Linked DNA regions of Sus scrofa. The protein of the gene in region 2 interacts with the protein of the main gene of each other region in a pairwise test. Links are inferred from orthologs where the notes say so. Each region holds a gene or a part of one and is shown on either strand. Other genes may lie near its edges.

Region 1 (3,813 bases), about 19 Mb from region 2:
GGAAAAAAAATTTAATAAATAAAAATAGTGTATCAGAGAGCAGAGGTGATAATTAAAAGTCAGTCGGTTCTGGGAGTTCCTGCTGTGGCGCAGTGGGTTAAGGATTTGATCCCTGCCCAATACAACACAGTACCTTACATCAAGTTTTGAAATCAGGAAGTGCTAGTCTTCCAGTTTTGTTCTTCTTTTTCAAGATCAATTCGGTTGTTCTTGGTCTCTTTAATCTCCATAAAAATTTCAGGGTCAGCCTTTCAGTTTCCATTTTGAAAAGGCATCTGATATTCTAATAGAGATTGCAGTAAATCTGTAGGTCAATTTGGGGAGTATAGTCATCTTAGCATATTAAGTCTTCCAATCTATAAACATGAAATGTCTTTCCATTTTTTTTAGTTCTTTTTAATGTCTTTCAGTGATCTGTAGAATTCCATATACAGGTCTTAGATTTCTGTTAATTTAATCCTAAGTATTTTGATCTTCTTTTGGATGCTTTTGTAAGTAGAATTGTTTTCTCAGTTTCAGTATCAGAGTAGTTATTGCTAATATGTAGAAATATAATTGGTTTTTTATATTAGTCTTATATCAAGCAATCTTGATGAATGCACTTATTGCTCTCAGTAGTTTTTGTGTGGGAATTCCCATCATGGCTCAGTGGGTTATGAACCTGACTAGTATCCATGAGGACGTGCGTTCAATCCCTGGCCTTGCTCAGTGGGTCAAGGATCCGGCATTGCTGTGCGCTGTGCTGTAGGTCACAGATGTGGCTCAGATCCCATGTTGCTATAGCTATGGTGTAGGCTGGCAACTACAGCCCCAATTCAACCCCTAGCCTGGGAACTTCCATATGATGCAGGTGCAGACCTTAAGGAAAAAAAATGGTTTGTGTGTGTAAGTGTATTCCTTAGAATTTTCTGTATACAAGATAACATCATCTGCAAATAGAGATAGTTTTGCTTCTTGTCCAATTTGGAAGCCTTCTGTTTCATTTTCTTGCTTAATTATCCTGTCTAGACCCTACCATGTTCAGCATTTTCAAAGTGCTGAAAATGGACATTATTGTTTGTTCTTGATATTAAGGGGAAAGCTTTTGGTTGTTTCACAGAGGTTCTTTATCAGGTTGAGGAAATTTATCTTCCTAGTTTAAATGTTTTTGTCCTATAAAATTTATCAAATGATTTTTCTTGCACCTTTTTAAATAATTATATTTTTGTCTTTTATGAATACTGTGTATTATGTTGATTGAACTAACCTTGCATTCTTAAATAAATCATGTTACTTGATTGAGTTTGCTAGTATTTTGCTGAGGATTTTTGCGTTTATATTTTTAAGTGATATTTGTTTGTAGTTTCTTGTATTGCTTTTGTGTGTTTTTGTTTGTTTTTTCGAAACATTCTTTTATTTTATTTTTTTGTCTTTTTGCCTTTTCTAGGGCTGCTCTCATGGCATATGGAGGTTCCCAGGCCAGGGGTCGAATCGGAGCTGTAGCCACCGGCCTACACTACAGCCACAGCAACGCAGGATCTGAGCTGCGTCTGCAACCCACACCACAGCTCACCGCAACGCCAGATCCTTAACCCACTGAGCGAGGCCAGGGATCGAACCCACAACCTCATGGTTCCTATTCGGATCCGCCAACCACTGTGCCACGACGGGAACTTCTGTGTGGTTTTGCTATCAGGTTAATATAAGGATACTTTTTTTGATGTATACTAAATTTAAACTTTTTTTCCCTCCCAGAAAATGATCCACAGTCTATTTCTCATAAACTGTTCCGGTGACATATTTCTGGAGAAGCACTGGAAGAGCGTTGTGAGCCAGTCTGTCTGTGATTATTTCTTTGAAGCTCAAGAGAAAGCTGCTGATGTTGAAAATGTACCTCCTGTTATTTCAACACCTCACCACTACCTCATCAGTATATACCGGGATAAGCTCTTCTTTGTCTCTGTCATACAGACTGAAGTGCCACCTCTCTTTGTAATTGAGTTCCTACATCGAGTTGCTGACACTTTTCAGGTTGGTTATTCATCAAATCTTTTGAATTTAAATTATCCAAGTTTGATGAAGGTGGAACACGGTTATATTCTTTAATTACCCAGCTTTTGATGTGTAATCTCTCTGTCTCTCCCTGTTCTTTTCACCTAAGCTTAAGCTCATAAACATAAACCTTTTTTATAGGGTATACAGTAGTATACATAGCTTCTCAGTTAAAATTTTAGGAGAACAGAACAATCTCATAGTCATGGAAACTGTATTTTTTTAATGTATTATGGATTATGCCATCAGGAAATAATAGTGCCCTCCACGTACAGTTCTCTGAATGGTCCCAAGAATTTTTTTGGTTATGAAACCTTCCATTGCTTAACATTATTTTTTTTTCTTGGCCTCCTGAATATACCAATAATTGAAAACTTATCGGAGTTCCCGTCGTGGTGCAGTGGTTAACGAATCCGACTAGGAACCATGAGGTTGCGGGTTCGATCCCTGCCCTTGCTCAGTGGGTTAACGATCCGGCGTTGCTGTGAGCTGTGGTGTAGGTTGCAGATGCGGCTCGGACCCCGCGTTGCTGTGGCTGTGGCGTAGGCCAGTGGCTACAGCTCCGATTCAACCCCTAGCCTGGGAACCTCCATATGCCGCGGGAGTGGCCCAAGAAATAGCAACAACAACAACAACAAGACAAAAAAAAAAAAAAAAAAAGAAAACTTATCCATGTTTCTTGGAGTACATGATCAGGACAAATGAAGTTTATAGTTCACATTCTGTTTTAACATTTCAGTGTATTTTCTGACGTAATACTTAGTAGGAATCCAATTCAATCTAAAAACATTAAGGAGGAGTTCTTGCTGTGGTCAACAGGATCAGCGACATCTCTCAAGCACTGGCACACAGGTTCAGTCCCTGGCCCAGCACAGTGGGTTAAGGATCTGGTGTTGCTGCAGCATAGGTGACAACTGAGGCTCAGATCTGATCTCTGGTCCAGGAACTCCTAATGTCGTGGGGCAGCCAAAAACAATAGTAATAATAAGGAAATTTTGAAGAATAGTATATAGAACTCTAGAGGGTTTTTTCACCCTCTGTTTACATATTTTCGACATCTTAAACAATGATTTGTGCTACTTTAAGTTTACCCTTTAGAACACAGAAAGTATTTAGCAAGCCTTTCTTCATGTCTTCTATTGTGCAATATTATGTACCTTTTGTTAGGACTACTTTGGTGAGTGTTCAGAGGCTGCAATTAAGGATAATGTGGTCATAGTATATGAGCTCTTGGAAGAAATGCTAGACAATGGATTTCCACTGGCTACGGAGTCTAACATTTTGAAAGAATTGATTAAACCACCAACAATTCTACGTTCTGTTGTCAACTCTATTACAGGTAAGTGAAATGCACTCTAATAAGAACTGAGCAATTGAAACTTCATAAACATTCATTTTTGTTTATTTGATCTGGCAGATTCTTAAGGTAGTCCGTTTTGGCCGGATTTGAAGTTAGTGATAATGTTAAAATAGATGTATATTTCTTTTCATGAAAAGAGGCTTGATTTTAAATGATAAAGAACTTTTGCTTGTTACTCTTGTATTACAGGTTTTTCTGTAAGACTACAACAATATTATTACTATATTTAACACTAAATAGTAAGAATGACTAAATTATCCACTTAAAGAGAAACCAATATAGTGATGACTGTTAACTAAATTTATCATGGTAATCATTTTGTAATATATACCTATATCAAATCATTATGTTGTATACCTTAAAATAATAGTGTTATATGTCAATTGTATCTCAATAAAACTAGAAAAAAATAGAGTTCCCTG
Region 2 (4,293 bases):
AGCTGCCACCGCCGGCCAATGCTACAGCCATAGCAATGCCAGATTTGAGCCGCATCTGCAACCTACACCACAGCTCATGGCAATGCTGGATCCTCAACCCACTTTGCAAGGCCAGGGATTGAACCTGAAACCTCATGGTTCCTAGTCGGATTTGTTTCCGCTGTGCCAAGACGGGAACTCTTGGTGTAGCACGGGTTTGATCACCACTGTCCAGCACTGGCCAGGCCAGGCCAAGCCAAGCCTCTGGGTCATGTTTGCTGGGGCCTAGAACATTCTGCAAGGCTGCATGTGCTCTGTGGTTCTGCACTGTCAATTATAAGCATTAAAAAAAAAAATGGTGCTAGAGTTCCTGTTGTGGCTCAGTGGTTAAAGAACCGACTAGTATCCTTGAGGATGCAGGTTCGATCCCTGGCCAGGCTCAGTGGGTTGAGGATCAGGCATTGCTGTGAGCTGTGGTGTAGGTCGCAGACGAGGCTTGGATCCCATGTTGCTGTGGCTATGGCGTAGGCTGGCAAGCTACAGCTCTGATTTGACCCCTAGGCTGGGAACCTCCGTATGCTGCAGGTATAGCCCCAAAATGACTATATATGTATATATATATGTGTGTGTGTGTGTGTGTGTGTGTGTGTGTATACATATATATATATATATATATATATATATATATATACACTGCCAACAATGGTTATGACCAAAGGGTTAAGGTTATTTTTAATTTTAGCTTACAAAACTAAAGACTTCCTTATCAGATCATTAAGACATTAAGAACACATTAAAACTCCCACTGTGTCTAGCAGGCAGTGGACAACTGCAGCTCCAGCTATAAAACCCACCTTGGTGACAACCCACAGGCTCAGGCAGTCACTGAGGGAGACACAGTTCTTTTCCTCAGGGCCCTTACAGAATAGTGGGAAAGACAATGACATGTGTAGCTGTGAGAAGTGTGAGAAGTACTGTGATCACGTGCTCTGCGGGGTGGGGGTGGGGCGGTGATGTCTGTCCTCCCTTGGCTTCCACAGGAAGGGTCCCTCCATGGCTATTCCTGTGTCCATAGGACATGGGAGAGCACCTGTCATGTATAGGGATGGGCACAGGTGAGATGGAGAGGTTGTGAAAAGTAGGGCCTATCTCTTATGCATCTCTGTCCCCAGCACCTAGCACCTTCTGGAACATACAGAGTCTCCATACATGTTTGCTGAATGAATAAACGACCATCTTGGTAAATGCTGTTAATGAAGTGGTGTTTGGGAAGCCCATCAAACCCGGGAGAACTCAGGAGGTTTGTCAGGTCATAGTACTGCTCTCTAACGTGTTTTATTACACACACTCCTATACTGCATGCTCATATTTACATAGAGATATAAAAGGCTGTAAAATGTTTACATACTTTTTAGACCACAGAGAAATAAGGCATGGGAGGGACTGCCTCTAACTTTTAAGAGGGTTACCCTAGGGAGTGTTTGTAATAGGGAAGTATAGACAACGTTATCTCTCCAGGAAGAATTCTGCCTCCAGAAAAGGAGGAACTGAAAACTCTGAATCTTGTTTCTGGAAACTGCCAGAGAAGTTCTCTCTCAGAAAAGCCGGCTCAGGAAATCCTGCGGTGGGGCTGGAAGGTAAGGTACAGTCTATGTAATCCAGTCTATTCCTGCTCCTGGGTTCTGACTCCCATGAAACCCTTTCGGTAGAGTTAACTCCAGTGTGGCTTAAAAAGGTCCTCTGAGATCTTTTAATCTTTCAGCAGCCAATTCAAGTGTCAAGCAATTTACATTCATCCTTTCAGGGAGAGCTTCCTCCTGGGTGATCAACATCTCCTAGGAAAGTGGAAAAGGTGGATATCAAGAGTTCATTTTCTCCTCGTCAAGATAAAGATCCAGGAGCATTTCTCCCGTGAGTGGAGGGCTGCCTGGAGGCCGGTTGGGGGGGCTGGGCGGGGAGGATAGAGCCTGCACACCTCTCCCAGCCTCCTTCCAGACTCCCAATGGTCTGTTTCCGCAGCATTCCTGCGCGCTGGCACCACCTGACTTCTTGCGCATTTCTCCGCGCATCCAGCCACTCCATCCCCTGGGGGTCAGGGGCACCGCCTGGGCGGTCCAAGGCGCCCTCGGGTGTCCGCACACAGTAGGGCTCGCTCCTCCTGCCGGCTTCCTGCGAACGCGGAGGTGCGGCGATCCTGCTGCGGCTCTGAGCAGGTGCCTGCGCAGCGCCTGGCAGCTGTGTTGTCGGGAGGCGACACTCAGGCTCTCGCGGCGCGGGGACCAAGAGCCAGCGGGCACGATTCTCCCCATTCGGGAGAGTGGAGTCCGGGAGGGGCCGCGGCTGCGCCAGGGGGCGGCGCGGAGCCAGGTTAGCGGGTGTGTATGATCGCTTTTCTCTCTGCCTCTTTGATCAGGTCTTTATTCAAAATGAGCTGACCAAAATGATTTGACCTTCAGAGGATAAACACATCTAAGTTTGCGCAGCAGGCTTCTTTTCTGTGGAGCCTTTCTTTTCCTCCGGCTTCCCAGCGGCTGGTTTCTTGGTAGCTGCTGCCTTTTTTTTTTTTTTTTTTTTTTTTTTTAACCCCCCACCAACGGCTGCTTCTGTTTCTTAAAGCCAACAGCCTTCCTTTCTCTCCTCTCTACCTTGCCTGGTACCTCTACTCATCTGATCTGGCTTCTGCCGCCGCTGCTGCCCTGGATGCACGGAGTTAGTTTGGTATTCTTAGCGTGGTGAAGAATGGTGCCCCGGGTGCATGATCTTTGAACGTGGGTTTAGTTAGATTGAACATGACTCTCAGGTTTTTCCAATGAATTCTTCTACAGGACCCTGACATGATTTCTCTTGCATGGTGCTCTGGGATTTTTCAAGATTATGCCCAGGTCTGTGTTGAGCTTGTGCACGGGAAGGTTGTAGTTACTCTTGAAGGAAGGAGGCAGCTTCTTCCAGAAGTGCTGCAGGAAGTGTCATTACAGATCATCTAACTTGCTGAAAGCAAATTCGAAACATCCCAGTTGTCCACCAGGAGCAAGTTTCATTGCTTACATTCGGCATAGTAATTCCTTTTGAAGGGAATGTAGAATTAAGGAGCCAGCGATGTTCCTTAAGGCCTTGATAGTGTGGTCCTGGTTACAGATCCCCTGCTGTGCATGCACCATGGCTTCTCACTTTGTCCTTGCCAGCTCTCTCATTCGCTCAGACGCAGAGACCTTTTTGATATTATTCCAGGCCTTAAGTTTCTTAAGAAGCAAAACAGTCCCCTTCGTCTTCTCAGTAGCCTTCAATGTTATCTACAACCACCAAAGGAAGTTCAGGACTTCCTCAATACACTGACCTTTAGCCATGACCAGCGCCCCTAAGGCCGAAGCAGCCAGGGCAGAGCAAATGGCACATCGTTTCTGTGTTGTGATCACTCTGCTGGGCCAACGGCGCCAGAATTGTTTGCGCAACGTGCGGCCCCACGACACATCTATTTCCCCAGTTAAGAAACGTATTTCTCAAATTTTAGGAATTAAAAGAAAGATTATGTCTTACTCAGTAAGAATTTTAGGCTACTGTAGCTGAAAATACAGTAAGACGCAAATGACGACATCACTGTTACAGATTCAGGGTTTTTAAGTTATCGGTGCCAGAGGGGCGAAAACGAGTCCCGAGGAGGAGGGCGACAGCTTTCCCAGACTGCGGGTCCAGGTAGGCTGCATCTCCCTGGAGGTCGCCGGCGCCGCTCACCCGGCGTCCCGCAGCCCCATCTGAAAGAAGAGCACCAACCCCTCCGGGACGCGCCGCTCCAGCGAGCCGCGGGGCCTGGGAACCGCGCACCGGCTGAGCCCGGAGCCCCGCGGGGCTGCGGGACAGACGGCGCCCGCGCCCAATCGCTGGGCGGGGCCGAGGGGGCGGGCAGGAAGCAGCCAATGGGAGGCCGCGGAGCGGGCGGGGGGCGGTGCCGCCGGGCGGGCGGGCGGTGGCGTTGGGAGCTGGCGCGGCAGACCAGGAGCCCGGGAGGAGCCGGCGGAGCGGGAGGAGGACAGAGGAGGAGGAGCAGCGCCGCGCCCCCGCCCCGGCCGCCCGCCCGCCGGATCACAGGCCGATCGCTTCAGCCGCAGCGGGCAGGTCCCGGCCGCCTCCCGCCGGAGCCCGGCGCCGGCAGGGTCCGGGCCGATGGGCAGCCCCGGGCAGCGGCGGGCGGCGAGGCGGCGGCCCCGGTACGCGCCGCCCCGCGCTCGCGGGCTGTAGCAGGTCCCTGCGGACTGCGTGTCCGAGGTGCGTGTCGGGGCGAGCGAAGGGAGGCGAGGCGGGTCCGCTTGGGAGCCTCCG

The links.
Region 1: the proteins of SIPA1L2 (region 2) and AP3M1 interact in binary tests that used the Homo sapiens proteins (3 or more experiments, as listed by UniProt). The two-hybrid records come from large-scale screens. The link is inferred for Sus scrofa from reciprocal best matches to the Homo sapiens genes SIPA1L2 and AP3M1.

The regions. Positions count from the first base shown.
Region 1 is NC_010456.5:76,825,438-76,829,250, reverse strand, and holds part of AP3M1 (AP-3 complex subunit mu-1), read left to right. Parts: intron 1-1,734; 5' UTR 1,735-1,737; coding exon 1,738-2,010; intron 2,011-3,198; coding exon 3,199-3,370; intron 3,371-3,813. UniProt on the Homo sapiens protein: Part of the AP-3 complex, an adaptor-related complex which is not clathrin-associated. The complex is associated with the Golgi region as well as more peripheral structures.
Region 2 is NC_010456.5:58,115,516-58,119,808, forward strand, and holds the start of SIPA1L2 (signal-induced proliferation-associated 1-like protein 2), read left to right. Parts: upstream 1-1,390; 5' UTR 1,391-1,616; intron 1,617-1,641; exon of another isoform or gene 1,642-1,783; 5' UTR 1,784-1,890; intron 1,891-2,334; exon of another isoform or gene 2,335-2,354; intron 2,355-3,651; exon of another isoform or gene 3,652-3,669; intron 3,670-3,980; exon of another isoform or gene 3,981-4,239; intron 4,240-4,256; exon of another isoform or gene 4,257-4,293.